Lytechinus pictus: one gene and its partner. The protein of the gene in region 2 purifies or fractionates together with the protein of the main gene of each other region. This does not show direct contact. Links are inferred from orthologs where the notes say so. Each region holds a gene or a part of one and is shown on either strand. Other genes may lie near its edges.

The links.
Region 1: the proteins of synaptobrevin homolog YKT6-like (region 2) and syntaxin-5-like purify together in Homo sapiens (affinity purification with mass spectrometry; 3 studies listed by BioGRID and IntAct, with this or other methods). This does not show direct contact. The link is inferred for Lytechinus pictus from reciprocal best matches to the Homo sapiens genes YKT6 and STX5.

The regions. Positions count from the first base shown.
Region 1 is NC_087251.1:41,209,013-41,216,784, reverse strand, and holds the start of syntaxin-5-like, read right to left. Parts: upstream 3,225-7,772; 5' UTR 2,566-3,224; intron 1,470-2,565; 5' UTR 1,445-1,469; coding exon 1,223-1,444; intron 682-1,222; coding exon 611-681; intron 1-610. Other genes in the region: methionine synthase-like, read left to right, coding at 6,085-6,145. UniProt on the Homo sapiens protein: Mediates endoplasmic reticulum to Golgi transport.
Region 2 is NC_087256.1:1,624,655-1,633,267, reverse strand, and holds the start of synaptobrevin homolog YKT6-like, read left to right. Parts: upstream 1-5,137; 5' UTR 5,138-5,554; intron 5,555-8,580; 5' UTR 8,581-8,613. Other genes in the region: coiled-coil domain-containing protein 125-like, read right to left, coding at 1-225. UniProt on the Homo sapiens protein: Vesicular soluble NSF attachment protein receptor (v-SNARE) mediating vesicle docking and fusion to a specific acceptor cellular compartment. Functions in endoplasmic reticulum to Golgi transport; as part of a SNARE complex composed of GOSR1, GOSR2 and STX5.

The DNA of each region.
Region 1 (7,772 bases), on a different chromosome or scaffold from region 2:
GAAAGAGTAGGTGAAATTTAGCAAATTAGCAATCCCTCATGTTCTTTGCGAGCAGGGGCAGATATATTCTACAGACTATTTGGTCAACTCTGCACATGAAAATGATTATGGGGAAGCTAACCTTGGTCATAATAAGTTGTGCGAGAGGGAAAAAAACATAAGTAAATAGAATGGTGAAAGCAGACAAGCAATAAGAAAGTTCCGACTTTTAAAATATTATCACGGATGTGTGGTTTTATCAATTGCCCTAGGGCAGTAATCAGAATACAACCAAGGTAATCAATTGTTTTAATGTCCTCATAAGGAAAATATAATTTAGAGTAAAACCTTCGAAAAAAAAATTAAAGCCATTTTGTGTATTGGAGTAAATGGAAAAGTACTCCTTGCCTTACACCAGTATGACATCACCATACGGCTAATTTGAATTCTCCAAGGGTATAAGTGATTACCAATTTTTACAACTTTTAAAAAATTCATAGCTTTCTTACTGTTTGTCCAATATTGTTTAAACTTTTGCCTATCTACTTGTCTGATATTCCTTTTTCTTCTAAAAACATTTTTTTTTTTTTTTTTGGGGGGGGGGATTTCCCTTTAATGCCTAGAAACTTACTTTGCAATTCTCATGAAATCTGTGTATTGTTGTGGCTTTCCATTCAGTTTGTTAGCTGTCACTCCATTGCCCTGCAAAATAAACATGTCTTATTATTGTTTCTTCTCTTTTATCATTTCTATTTCAAGACTTGGGTACACTTTCAAAAGAAAGTTTAACATGTGTAAAAAGACTAAACCTCTAATAAAAGTTTTATAAGATAAGAGGGACAAGCACTACAAATATTTTTTAACAAATGATCTAAGAAGAATTTAACGAAGGTTTATATACACTGCATAACAGTTAAAATAGTAAAGCTGTATTTGATCTAAGCATTCAAGTTATCAGTTACATGTATTTAGTTAATATAACATGAAAGATTTTTAATATTCCCATTTCTGATACCCAAAGAAAAAAAAATTGTATGTTCACAATTTCATTAAGAACTGACCCAACATATCCTTTACATGATTCAAACAATTATGAAATATGACTAACATGTGATGTACATTGTGATGTCATCAAATAAAATGGAATGTTACACATTGTCTAATAATTTTAGATTTCTGAAAGTGAAAGTGGCACGTGTATGAATAATGAAAAGTTTACCCCCCCCCCTCTCCAGATACTTACTTGTCTTGACTGCATGGACTTGATGGTGGAGAGGAACTCCTGGGTGCGATCTCGGCAAGTCATATCGCCAGTATCTACTCCTCCTGCCGTGGAAAGAGTCTCTGGTGGAATGTGAGTAGTGACCGTCCAACCGCTGCGTTGGTGGTACCCACTGTTACCGGAAAACCTGCTGCTCTCACTAATGTTTTCTTCAGTTGAAGGGTGTCGACGTCTATTGTACATTGGTGGTGTATGGCATTGCCAAGATCTGGAAGACAGACAATGCAACTGGTGATATCGCAACTCAATAACTCTAATTGATTGCCCTTGAAAGATTGAATTCTGAATAAAGAAGTATTTGCATCAAGATAACTGGCAAGGGGGGGGGGTATCAAAATGTAAATCAGGGAGAAAAATTATACTGGAGCTCAGATTTTGCCCCAAAAGAGCTCTGGAAATAAAAAAAAAACCCTAGAAAATCCCCATTCACTATTTTAAAGCTGATCTATTAAATGCAGATTTAGGCAGGATGTAAAAAGCCCCCCAAAATAGAAATATTTTGACTGGTAATCATTCTTGAAAAGAGCACAAAATGTGGACCCCCCCCAAAAAAAAAAACAGGAATGAAATGTCTAGATTCTACACATCGAAAACTGCCCAGAGAAACTAAACAATAACATTACAAATCCTTACAAATGAAGCCCACTCATCTAATCATTAATTATTCAGGTGTGGATGTGTATAGGCAACTCATGTGACATAGATGAAAAAGGGTCATATTTTCAAGGCCCTTATTTTCTCAAAACAACAAAATAGATGATCAGTGATTTTGTAAATTTTACAACTTTTCCCAGAGAAAACATGTTAGGCAATAATTAATAGGATACCATTTTCAAGTGACCAAAATATTTAAATTTTGCGAAGAACGGGGCCATCAGAAAGGACCCAACTGGGAAAGAGTTCCTCTTGCAACAGGCAGCCACCCAAAATATCAGATTGTCGAGACATCCGGTTCATTCACTTCCTGTTCCTCTATCGTTTTTTTTTTAGTGTTTCTTTAAAAAAAAACATGATGGAGGAACAAGAAGTGAATGGACCGGAAGTCGCGACAATCTCGTTATTTTGGGTGGCTGTCGCGATGTCGCCAGTCGGAGTGTCGCAAGACTGAGGAACTCTTTCCGTCTGTTAGCTGGCACAGTTGGTGCTTTACTGGACAGGAATAACTGTTGTTTCTGGGGATTCTTTACCAATTTCTGACATTCTACTATCATCCCCATTAATATTACTATACTAATAAGTCAAAGTGGAGCCTTTGGTCTGACTACAGAGTACAGTTATTAAGTTAAACGTTAACTTAAACTTACACGTTACATTACACAATTTCTCCAAAGTTTCAGCTCAGACTCGGTAACGAAACAGATGTCTGCTTAAAGATAACAATCAAGAAGTTCTTCAGAAACTCAATCGCATCAAACCACCAACCACCTTTACTCAATGTTGTTAAATTAACGTCTCTTTCCTTGACTCAAGACTCTTGTTCAATGACGATGTTAGTTAGTTTTTTCACACATCATTCATGACGAAATGTCATTCACGAAAGACCAGCTCTGAATTGATGACTATTGATTAAGCCTCCTCTTTTCTTGAACAATTCTGTGACAGACGAAATCTGAGGAAAAATAACTTTGTCAATAAATGCAGATGCGACTCTCGTGCCACAATCTATCAACTATAATATAACCGTTAGAAGGATAGATCTACAAACATCTTGCTTCGTTGAATCATCACAACTTGCCACCGGTAATTACGCACAGTCTGTCTGTGTACGGTATAGTGGTAGTGGCCGCACCGGCTGGCTGAGCTGAGTGCATGCATAGCTAGGTAGTGGGTATGCAGTGTCGAGTTAGTTGACGTAGCAAGCTGCTAGTGTACCATGGGATAGTACGGAGACTCCCTAATAACTCGTCCTCATCAAACTCTCTTTACTCAATATACATCGTTCGATCTAAACGAAAAGTAGGCCTATGTGGCCTCTACCTCCATTTCTTTTTATCCAAAGCTACCAAAATTTTCTTCAATCATTGACCCTACTATTTCCAAAGAGACAATATAACCCTTAATCAATAATTCGATGTCAGTGGCGTAGTTATAGGATTTCTTTTCCTGGGGGGACACTGGGAGTCCCTGCTTTTTAATCGGGGGTGGGGCACTGAAAGTGTCCGTGCATACTGATTTGTCACAGGGGCGGATCAAGCTTTCGCCAGTAGGGGGTGGGGCCCGAAATCATTTTCACCCATATTTCCCCCGATTTTTCCCGATCGGCCGAGTTGATTTTTGTCACTTCTTAGCTATATTGTTATAAAACTAATCTCATAAGCCCTATTTAAAAAGTGCGAGCGGACGTGAAGCGCGATCTAATTTTTGTTTTTGAACTTTCATGTAGGCCTATTTGGTCCTGAAATTTTAACATTCTGGGCAATGTTTGTGATCCTGCGAACAAGATGCGTATGTATATAACTAGATAATTACTGCGAACGCGCGGCCAAGCGCGATCAGAAATTTTGAATAAACGTTCCGGCCTGATAAGAACTGTTTGCAGTTAGCCCCCGAGTTATAGCCATGAAGACGATAAATATTGTAACATGCGCGATGCGCAAGCTGAAAATTGTTGTCATTCCGACCTAAAATAATGGTCATTCTAAGCAGGGGCGGATCCAGGATCTTTCGAAAGGGGGCACATTTTTTACAGGAAAACTTTGACAAGCAAAAAAAAGGGTTTTATTAATAAGGGTATTTCGTCCACAAAATAATTTGACAAGCAGAAAAAAAGTCTTCAATTTCAAAGGGGGTGGGGCACACTTCTGTCTTAACGGCATCTTTACATTACAAAATTCAATTGTGCCTTCCATGGGGGGGGGGGGGGGCACGGGCCGGCGGGCTGTGCCATCCGCCAACGGTAGGCACTTTTTGTAATCATGAAAGGGATAGGAATGTAACTAAACAATGATACTAGCGCGAAGCGCGAGCTGAAGAAAATTCAGATTTTAGACCTAGAAACGGGACACTCTGTCCATGTTTTGTAAATCATGATCTTCCTAGTAGGAAATATAGTTCAGAATATTGAGGCCTATACATAACTCACCAATCAAAATGAGAGCGTGCATCGGTAGCTGATATGTCGACCGTGAATATGGATATTTTGAGAACTTTATGGAATACACGAAAATAATAGGGCCTACCTGACAAATCAAATGTTAATATTGACCTTAAAACTAACATGTTTACAAAGCACTTTTTAAAATTAATTCGTAAATCAAACAAAATAATGAAAGTTCGATTTCGAACTGAAATATGTTTTGTATATTGAGCAAAATATATAATCACCCCATAACCAAAACAGGCAATTCAAGCGCGAAGTGAAATGAAAGATTCCTCTCTGAGGGAAGAGTTCCTTTTGCGACAGCCACTCAAAATTTTGTTTATGTTCATAAATCATAACATGAAAGATTTTGTTTATTTTCCAAGTCTTCTCCTCATTTTGTTTTATTCACTCGTCTTCCTTCTCTTTTTTCTGCTATTTTTCCCTACTCTTTTTTGTCTTTCCCCCCTTTTTTAAAATCTTTTTTTTGCTCCACCAGCGGGGGGGGGGGGGGGGCGGGCCCCTCGCCCCCTGGATCCGTCTATGAATTTACTTTAGAATGGGCAAAATATATAGTTATTGCACTGATGGTCAATAAACTATATGCCCCAAAAATGCCAAATGTTGTTGGTGGACACAGTCATACTTATCCTCATGGAGCACAATAGGCCTATGGGAGTGTAAGCCGGAGTCTCCGCCCTTTTTGTCTCCACCAAACCAAATAATATTGCATTTTAGACGACACACTGTCACGCCGGAATCGGCAGTCCCGCGATGATTTTACGGGTGTGATAATTACGTTTTTTTTTAAAGGCGCCGCCACCACTGCATGCAGGCTTAGTCTGCTGTGCCAACCCTATAGCTTCACTAGAATAAGGGTCAGAATGTGCAGCCTATATTCATGACGTGTACTGGAAGCCTATTGCCACAGCAAGTTTATGTGCTCGTCGATGCGTGGAGAGATTGTTGATCAAAGTATGTGCTGCAGACTATACTCGTCGCCGCTGGCTGCTTATATGCTCCTCCCCCTTGCCAAAACCTGAATCCATTTACCTATAGCTATGACTTTCTTATTTTACACCTGGGGCACGTTTTATAAAGAGTTGCAACTTTGCCATTATGGTAACTACCATGGTAACCTTGATTTTTATTGGCTGCTGAGCCCTGTTGCCATGGTAGTTGCCATAATGGCAAAGTTAAAACAATATTGTAACTCTTTATGAAACGGGCCCCAGATTTTGATTGAATTTTTTATATGCTTGTTTGATTTTCGATTGATTCAGAAAATCCGGCGCCAGCTAGCCTTCTTTAATTTTACTGTTCCTTTCTTTATAAATCCAAATTTGAAGTCACGGATCTGAGAAGTATTTTGAATATAGTTAAGTGAAATATAAGTTTTTCATGAGGCAGCAACTGAAGTATATATGGGTCGGGTCGATCTGAGCTGGGAGTATTTTTGTTACGGCGATTCTTATGTAGGACGATTTGTCCGGCTCGACGTACATAGGGCATATTGCATAGACGTGACATCTTTCGCAATCAGTCTCTTCTTGAACTCGCGGCAGCGCTGAACCATCGCGCTTACGAATACCAACCCGACAGACCCGGCGCGGTTGAAGAAAGGTTTCGATACGAAGTACAGCACCAGCTCTGTCTGTTTCGTCTCCAATGCCAACAGAGAACAAAATTCGATTGCTAATATATCTTATAATATCTGGTTTGAATTGTCATCAGCTTGTGAGACATGCCGCCAACACTGTCACAAGCACAAGGTCAAGGCCATGAACATGTTCAAGGACAAGGAGGTAAACAAAGTCAAGTTAGGCCTAACTCTTTTTTTTACTTTAGGAATAGGATCATGGATGGAGGGCCGAGGGTCGGGTGTTCGGATAGGCCTACTTTATATTTTTGAAGCCTTCTTGTTTGTCTTTGGATTACACTAAAAATATGAATTTAATAGTTATAATCATCTTCTATTTTGTCTCTATAATATTTCCTAACATTTTGTACTAAAAATTGATGAAACTTCGCTTGTAAATTTTTCCAAATGACTTTCTAAAATTGATCGTCAGTACACACAACCTGTCTTAGAAGTTAGATAGAGACATTATTTATATCATAACCTTGTTCATTGAATGAGTGGATAGAGAAGGTGTTGGGTGTGTGTAGCTAGCCAAGCAGGAGGCTCCTAACGTTAGAGTGTAAAACTCATTTACTAACATGTGCTTACTCTCCACGGAGCCAGGAATTGCGTCCCATTTATGTGCGTGTACCGTGAAAGAAACAGAAATTTTTGCCCCCGAGATTTCTAGTCTACTTTCCATCTAAAAGATCTTGCCTAAATCATGTAAAAGGGATAATAATAATAATGATATGCAACATTTATATAGCGCTTAATACAAATGTTTCTAAGCGCTGCATACTATTACCCTAGACCAGGGGTTCTCAAACTTTTTCTTTGAAGGGCCAGATGAGACTCGAAATAAACCTGAAAGGGCCAGGGTGAGTGGATTTTTTGGAAAAAAATGTGCGCGAAGCGCGAAGACCCTTGCGGCCGGGGTCCTAGATGCTATCTGGGGCAATCTGGCCCTTATTTTTGGGAGAATTTAATCCAAAAAATAATTACGGTTTCATATGGAACACAGGCAATATCAGAAAAGATTTCAAAATACAGCAAGAGTCAATATAGACAACAAAATTGTTGTACTTTGTTAAAAGGAATGTAGATTGTACCTATACGTCAATTTTAACACATACCTGGAATTTAAGAGACAGATAATGTTTTGTAGTAGGCCTATCAATATTTTTTTTTGTCAAAGTAGATTGGCCAACACATTGGCCTTGTACTCGATTGCGGCAAAATGAAAGCATACTTGTCTGTCCATTCTTTATGGAAAGCACGATTTTCAGCATGCACCTTTCCTTTATTTGCAGAATTTGATGCCATCTTGACCTGGCTATTATTAATGATGACTAATGTACCCCTGAGAAAATCCGCAGAACTTGAACCGGCAATTAAGTTTACGTTTTAACCAAATTGATCGCGTGTTGGAATGTATGCGCACATGTTTTCAAAATGCAACGTGTTATCCGACGTTTGACGTGAAAATTTTTTTTCAATGAAGCGCCGCGCTGGTCATCTAATTAGAATGTAGAAAAGACAGAAAAGACTCCATTAAACTTTGTTTAAAAGTCAAATTAATTTGACTGCCATTACTTTTATTACGGTTTCATGGATACACAATGTAATCATATTGAGCTATGTTTAATATTGGGACTTATAAGTGATAAAAAAACCCAGCAGCGTCTCGCGGGCCGGATAGAGAAGCTCCGCGGGCCGGATCCGGCCCGCGGGCCGTAGTTTGAGAACCCCTGCCCTAGACCATGTAGACAGCTGGCAGCCGTCTGTTTTGAGGAGTTTTTAAACATTTA
Region 2 (8,613 bases):
ATTCTCACCATTTCTATCCCTTTTTATTGCTGAACCTAGACTGTTGCTCCTCTTAAGTCTCCTGCTAGAGCCATTGCTTTTTCTTACCACGTCTGGTTCTTGTTCTCTTGATTCTGAATTGATTTGTAGGTCTTGTTGCCGAGGCGATAAGTCCACATCTTCAGTAGATGTAGAAATAGCTCCAGGTTTCAATCCTTGACCAAACCCCAAGTCTCCTTCTTCCATTTTTGAAGTAAAATGTTTCTAAAGCATTTTCAGAAGAAATTATATCCAGTTGTGAGATAGCATCCTCACTCACATGAAACAATATTTTAGGCACTTCCGACTGCTGAATTTAGAGTCCAATTTCGCCTGGAAGATAAAATCTCCATTTCTGGTCATCATTAAGACTTAGACCCTGCATTGATTTAAATAATAAGGAAAAATTAAGAAAATGTTAATGTGGAAACAACAAACAATAATAATTTAAAATCAAATTATTATTAACTAGGTGTAGATCTACACCTCTAAAAGTTATATTGCTACTTGCACATTAACCCAGGGAGCTCCGGCCCGCTGTGCCCAGGGGCTTACCATGTATTTGACCATACTCACGGGACTTGCATGATTTATGGTCTAAATATTTCTCCAAATGAATTGTGAAAACATAAATTATGCACTTACCGCGATTATATGGATGAAGGTCTAACGAGTGGCAGTTTCCTGACATCGAGGCACATACTGGAACTTCAAAAAAACGAAAAGTTCTCTCCTTCTTTTACCCCCGTCTCGATCGGCCATTTTTGTTATGAATCGTAACAAAATGGCCGATCGAGACTGGGGTAGGAGAGAACTTTTCGTTTTTTTTAGTATGGTCAAATACACGGTAAGCCCCTGGGCTCCGGCCCGCTGTGCGGGCCGGAGCTCCCTGGGTTACTTGCACATCAGATATATGCTGGACTGTCTGATGTATCAATTATCATCGTGATATTCATGGTGTGTGTATGTTCCCAAGTCAAAGCAGTTTCCCTTAATCTTTAAAAATGAACAATTGAGAAAACATACAACCCAGCATATAATAACACAACTACAAACTAAAATATTCTGAGTAAAAAAATGATGAAAATGTAATTAAATGTTACATTTCAAGCATTCATGTATAAAAAAAAAGGGCCTCAAAAAGACAATATGGGGCCTGGGGTCATCAACTTCAAGCAGGCTTGCCCCGAAAACATCTCCCGAATTGTGTGATAATATATTTTGCTTTAAAATAGATATCAGGGGATTTTGCCATGATTGCATTGTTAACCCCCTATTATCAGCCTAAAGACAAAGTAATGGCAACTGCACGACCGCGAGCCGTCTGTTTAACTTTAACAAGGAGAAGAAAAAAATGTTTAAAAACTCATCGAAACAGACGGCTGCCAGCTGTCTACAGTAGAGGCGCTGGTCAGAAAATTGGGATCGTCCCAGAATACAGGGACTGTCTCAGTTTATAAGGATTTCTTCACACAAGAAATCTAGGAAAGTTCATTCACCTGTCAAGTGCCGACACCAATCAAGTGTGCTAGTCAATGTAAACATATCAGGTTTCATAACAAGATTATTGGAAGACGGTAAGTCATGAAAAATAGACGGCGAACTGGGGGGAATTGAGGTCACTGAATCTATTTTTAGCACTCTCAATTTCCGTAATTGCTGTCTTTGTCCCGTAGGGAGAAGTGAAAAAAAAACGTCCCCATAAACAAGGACAGTCTCAATTTATCAAGACATGATTTGTCTTGGTTTATGAGGATATCCTTGTTTTCTGGGACAATCCCAGTTTTTGGACCAGCGCCTCTACTGGTCTAGGCAATGCTAATGGCCTGCCTGCCGAATGACTCCTTCATTGTTTCATTTGATAAAAGGAAATTTGCCATTACGATATTCACCTATTCACTTGCTTGCCAAAAAGACACGCACGACGAAGGCCGGCCGAAGGCGCGGCAGGGATAAAGCAGCGGATAGTGGCCTTCTGGAGCACGGGGCTTGCCCGGCGCTGTCATCAGGTACAGTCCGGTGGGTCCCCCAGCAATAGGCGGTGAGCCTTGTGTAGGTAGCGCGAGCAATAACAATAACATGAATGCGATCATCCTGGAAGAAAATCTCTACCATAACGTTAGAGATTTATTTTTTAGACTTAGATCTGTTTAATACTTATATAACAATTTTGTTTTTTATATTATTTTAAATATTTAAAACCTATAAATTATATTTTTACGTGATTATAATCTAGCATGAGTTATTCAGGCCGCATTATATTGATTTGTGAATATAATTTTTAGTTGGCAACTACCCTCAAGTACACAAATTCTAGTGTAGACCTTTAAAATATTATGAGTCATTCAGAATGACGTGTCGACCGCTAGCGCTGCGCCCACGCAAGCGACCAATTAGCGCCCGATCACCACAGAAATATGAAAGAGCTTGTAGTGTGTCTTCAAAAAGGTGCAAAAGACGGGAAATGTCCTCTTTTCTAGATGAGATACTGTCAGATTTGATTTATTTTCTATTGCTTCGCTCACAATGTTCATAATTTAAAAATTTCAATTGCTAAAAATCAAAATGTATCAATATGAGAGCTATGCCTATCATTATGAGGATTTAATGATAACTAACACTCAAGATACATTCATGCGGGATTTCGGTAAAGTGTCCTTCGCATATCGTGAGTTTATTGTCCAACCCCATTTGTAGGAGTGCCTCTGTACATTGCCTCTGTATCATATAGAGGGGGCCTCGCGGGTGGCGTAGGGGGGGGGGGGATTGTGCAATAGGGCCCACGGCAAAAATTATCACCCCTGACAGGGGCGGATCCAGCTTTCGCCAATAGGGGGGGGGGGCCGAAAAATATTTTCATCAACATTTTTCTCGATTGGCCGCTATAATCTGATTTTTTTTTTTTTTTTTTTTTTTTTGGGGGGGGGTTCAGGGGGTAGTCCTAAATAGAGACTGAAGTTTTAAGTATATGTTAGTTTTTATTGTTATAAACTAGATAAGGTATATCATGTGGTCTTAATATATAATGCGAGCGCAAAGCACGAGCTCAAATTCTTTGATATTTTATGTCCTTAGACCTGAAGATTCTGAGGAGATTTTATAATCATGAAAAAGATAAGTATCCAACTAAACAATGCGAGCGCGAAGCGCGAGCCGAAATTTTATCATAGTAACGTGAAAAGGGACTCAATTAGGACTGTTTTTATTGATTAATGAAGAGGATACAAGTATCACCAATTAAATAATGAGAGTGCGAAGCGCGAGCTCAAAATTTTTGATATTCCGACCTGAAAACTGGACAGTCTAAGCGCGTTTTTATTTAAATACAGAAAAAGCTGTGTGTCTCAAACAATAAAATGCGAGCGCGAAGCACAAGCTCAATTTTTTTATATACTGACATGATAAAGGAGCATTTTGACAAATTTTGGTAAGAATTTCCAAAGAGGATAGGTAACTCACAAATCAAACAATGCGAGCGCGCAGCGCGAGCTGAAAATTTTGATATAAACAATTTGTGTAAAACAAACAAAATAATTAAAGCTTGATGTGCGAGCTAAAATATTGTGTGCAAATTGATTTCAGATCTGGATATATAAGTGTCATTTAATCCTCTTGAATGGGATTCATTGGCACAGGCAATGCGAGCGCAAAGCGCGAGCGAAATTTTTTATATAAAGTTCTTTTTTCCAATTCTTCCCCTCACCCTTTTCTTGTTTCCTTTTGGGGTCGGGCCGGCCGTTACGAGGTTGTAAACTACACATCCTGGGTATGATACCTCTTTCCTACTTTTCTTTAGTGCTTTTCCTATAGTACACTTTTTCTGCAGGTTGTCAAAAAATAGGGGGGGGGGGCCGGCTCGGCCCCCTCCTGGATCCGCGCCTGCCTGACGCATTGGGCTCAGGACAAGTCCATCCCAATAAAAAGTTAATAAAGGAAAAAACGAAAAATCCAACAAGCACAACACTAAAAATTTCATCAAAATCGGATGTAAATTAAGAAAGTTACGACATTTTATGATTTTCTTTTAATTTCACAAAATAGTTATATGTGCATTCTGGTCTGTATGCAAATGAGGGAACTGATTGCGTCACTCATTCACTATTTCCTTTGTATTTTTTTATATGAAATATTTTAATTTTCGTCTCATTAATTGTTCTGTGTATCAAATTCCTTCATAAACATGTGGAATTGCCATTGTTTTAACATTTTTATGGTTCAGTCAAGTTACACTCTTAAAACAAATCATGATTGACTAGACCAGTATAGCGGCTGGGTGCAACTGATATGAAAATAAATGATTATCACATTTCTGACATATCGAAATAACTCTGTTCTAGTAATACGACTAGAAAAAACTCAAATATGACTAGAATAACAGTTGCACCCACTGCAGCTGACCCTAAGTCATTTTTGACTGGTTTGTCTTTAGAGACGGTGTGGTCCTTTTTGTCATATCTGTAAATTCAAACAAAAAAAACATTAAAAATGTGATGGACATCATCGACATTCTCATTTGCATATCACTGAGTTGTGCATATAATTAGGAAAAATAAGTGAAACTTTGAAATGTCATAACTTTCTTATTTTACATCCGATTTTGATGAAATTTTCACTGTTACGCCGCTTGTTTGATTTCTCTATTTATTCAAATCAACATTGAGTCCTTCAAACACAGGCTGGACAAACATTGGTCTTGCCATCATCAAATTCTCCCCTACATAAAAAAAAATAAATATCCGTCCACCCTCCACGCAACATGCATGCATGTAATCTACAAGTCATTTAAAATAGTCAAGTTGGAACAAGCACTATCAAAAGGAACGACCGGAAGTCTCGACATCAGGCTTGCCTTCTTCTTCCGTACACTGATGATGATGATGATGATGAACATTTTTCTGGGGTGGACTTTACATTTATCAACTAGACCATAAACTTAAGTCTGTGTACCATTCCCGGGTACCATTGACTGCTCTGCTGAACTACATTAGCTACACTTTCCTAGTTTAGAAGGGTGTGTGAAGTCTAATATCAATACACTTTTTATTATTTTTGTTTGCTCTTTTGTAGACACCATAATATAATAAATCGATTTTTAGGTCTGATATTTTCAGGATTATGCGCTAATGGTCGCTAGAAAAACCGCACAGTACGGCGTAAATGAGTAATCGCTCATAAACGTTGACAGAAGAAGCTACAAATCCATCGTTATCACCGTCCTTCGCTACGAGACCACCCATCTGATTCCAAACAAGAGAAGTGACAGTGAATTGAACGATCTGCGACGTGACGTGCCCAGTGATTAGTCAGAAGAGAAAGAGAAATAGTCAAGTCATTCTAACGTTACGTTAGTTTCTACCTCCACTGCTCAGGCTCCATGGTCAAGTGCAGTGTGAGTGTAAATTGTAATGATGAACGACAACTAACAGAGGCTCTGAGTGAGAGTGGAACAGTACTGTCAGTGGAACGTGAACTGGAGTGGAAGCAGTGACGAGTCAGCTCAGAAGATAAACTGAACTGAACGGAAAAAAAGGTCAGGGTAAGTTTCAGACGGCATGGAGATTGGAGGGGAAGGGGGAGGGGGAGGAGGCGACAGCGTATAAAATAAGACAGTCACTGAGTCAGTTTCGCATCGGCCGGCCTCAACTTCAAAGTTCAAGTTCAATTTTTTTTTTCAACTTTCAATCAAGCAAATTTCCCTACCAGGGGCAGTAGGCAGTCTTCAGGTGAAAATTAGGAAAGGCTGTTCCACTTCCACTTCCAGCATGTTTTTTATGCTCACAATAAATGAGGCTCAATATCTACGATTCACAATCTGTTTGAATTTTCAAATTCCGACTTCTAGAAATCGAGTTATTGTCATCTTTGTGATACAAAATGACTTTTTTGTGGACAAAAGATGATTGCGTAATCCAGGGCCGTAATCTTATTATTCTCTTTGTTTTGGGCATGGCACACTTATATTATAATGCATAGCTTATGGGGAATGTACAAATATTTTGAAAGCTTTTTTGCAATGATTTTGACTACCCCTGGACGATTACCCCCCCCCCCCCCCGGACAACTACACGGTACCCCATCCAAAAATCTACACCTAACCCTATTTCGGGGTACTAATTGTCCTGTGGTACTGGTACTCATTGGTAGGTTTGTGCACAGGGTAAACATGACTTGATATGGATTTCTTTTGCTTGAACATTAGAAATTAAATTTTCAATGAATATAATTTGAAATAAAAAGAAAGAGAATTCAAATAATAATCTCAGAATTTTTAGAGAAAAAAATAAAGTCAGATTAATTTCAATTATTTATTATGATTATCGCATTATTGTTATTATGGTCTCAATAATATTTTAAATATTAGTATTGTCTCATTATCATTGTTTCATCATTGTTGTCAAAATTATTGTTAGAATTATAATTATAATCATAATTATAATATCAATAATTATAATATAATAATAATTATTGTCTAATTAATATTATTCTCAATAATTATTACAATTATAATTACTATCATAATTGTTATCATAATTATTTTATAATTGTTTCAATAATGATAAGGCCTACATAATTATAATTATTTTAATTATAATTATTATAATAATGATTGTTATTGATGTCTCATTAATATTATTGTCTCAATAATTATTACAAAATGTATAATTACTATCATTATTATAATTGTTATAATTATTTATAATAATTATAATTGTAATAATAATTATTATTGTCTCAATAATTATAAGGGCTATGATTATTATAATTATAATTATTTTTATAATAATAATTATTGATGTCTAATTAATAATATTGTCTCAATAATTATTACAATTATAATTATCATTATAATTATAATTGTTATCATTATAATCACTTTCTAATAATAATTACTATTGTAATAGTAATTATTATTGTCTCAATAAAATTGAGCTCTTCATCCACAATGACACCAAGATCATCTTGGTGTCATTGTGGATGAAGAGCTCAATTTTAATCAACAAGTCTCAGCAGCTGTTTTGAAAGCTAACCAAATACTTGGAATAATACACAGAACTTTTTCTCAAATAATCTCTGAAATATTACCAATTTTGTTTATAAGTCTGATTCGACCTCATCTGGAATATGGGAACATTTTATGGCATGTGAGATTCAAAATGGATGCAGACAAAGTAGAGAAGGTGCAAAAGAGAGCTTCTCGCATGATTCCTGGTCTCCAGATTTTAACTATGAGCAACGTCTAGAGAGACTCAACCTTCACTCACTGTTTTATAGAAGATGAAGGGGAGATATGATCACTGTTTATAAACTGTCAAATGGAAAGTTGGGGATCTCTAGTGACACATTCTTCACACCAGCAATGCACTCAGCAACAAGAGGTTACAAGTTCAAGCTTTTCATACGACGATCTCGGTTGGAACTTAGAACTAGAAGTACATTTTTTAGCCAAAGTATAATTTCTGATTGGAACAAACTGCCTACAGAAGTAGTGGAAGCTAAATCAGTGGAATCAGTGAAAAGATTTAAAGATCTGTCGGACAAGTTCTGGTGGGGGGGATTGAAAACCTCTATTTCTCAACGCATGTAAAGATTCATAAGTTCAAGCTGTATAGATATACTTGTAAAATACCCAAAGTAAAGACCAGAAAATCTACAGGAGAAGTCTTCATTTCCGTTCCTGATGTGATGAGAGACTTGCTATGATATTTGCAAAGAATTACTGGTGGGGAAATTTGCTTGAAGTTGGCCGATGCAAAACTGCATTTGCGCAACCCTTAGCCTTGATAAATGTTAATTATATTGAATCAAGCTTAACTAACTATCTTACAAAGGTATAGATCATCATTTTATGATAATTTTTGTTTCTAAAGTGATTCAATTGGTACACCTTACATGTATTTGTATATTGATCATGAACAGTGTTCCCAGGTCCAAGCTGAAGAAAATCCGCAAAAGGCACTCGAAAATTCCACCAATTGGAATCTACATGTATATCCCCAAATTTTTCAAATCACAATAATTTCTGAAAAAGTGAGGACATTTACCATGATTATTGCCCAAAACTAGTTAATATGTGCTTGTTTGTTCACACCATACACAGCAGATTTTTATTATTATTTTTTTATTTTTATTAAAGGTTTCGATGCAAAGTAGATTGGCAACACTACCATTGTATCGTACAACCAACTAAGTTCAATGTATCATTCGAATTGCGTAGGAAATGCGCTGATGTACATTCTATGATCTACAGTAGATCGTATTTTTATTATTAGCATCACATTACTGAAAAATAACAAATCTTAGTGCTTTTTATCAAAACCTTCAAATATCCCCTAAAATGCATGAAATTTCCCCAAATTTATTTTAATCCCCATTCCCCAAATAATTTTTTCCATCCCCAAAGGCTTCTCAAAATCCCCAAATTTTCAAAATTTGGACATGGAAATCCCCAAATGGCAACACTGATTAATCAAAATCCAATTATGAGTTTTCATTCAGAGCAATATCTTTCTGAAAAACAATTTAATCCTATATATAGTTAATTTTCTTTTCTTTTCTTGACAGATTTAGATAACTACAGACACCCAAGTCTCTGAA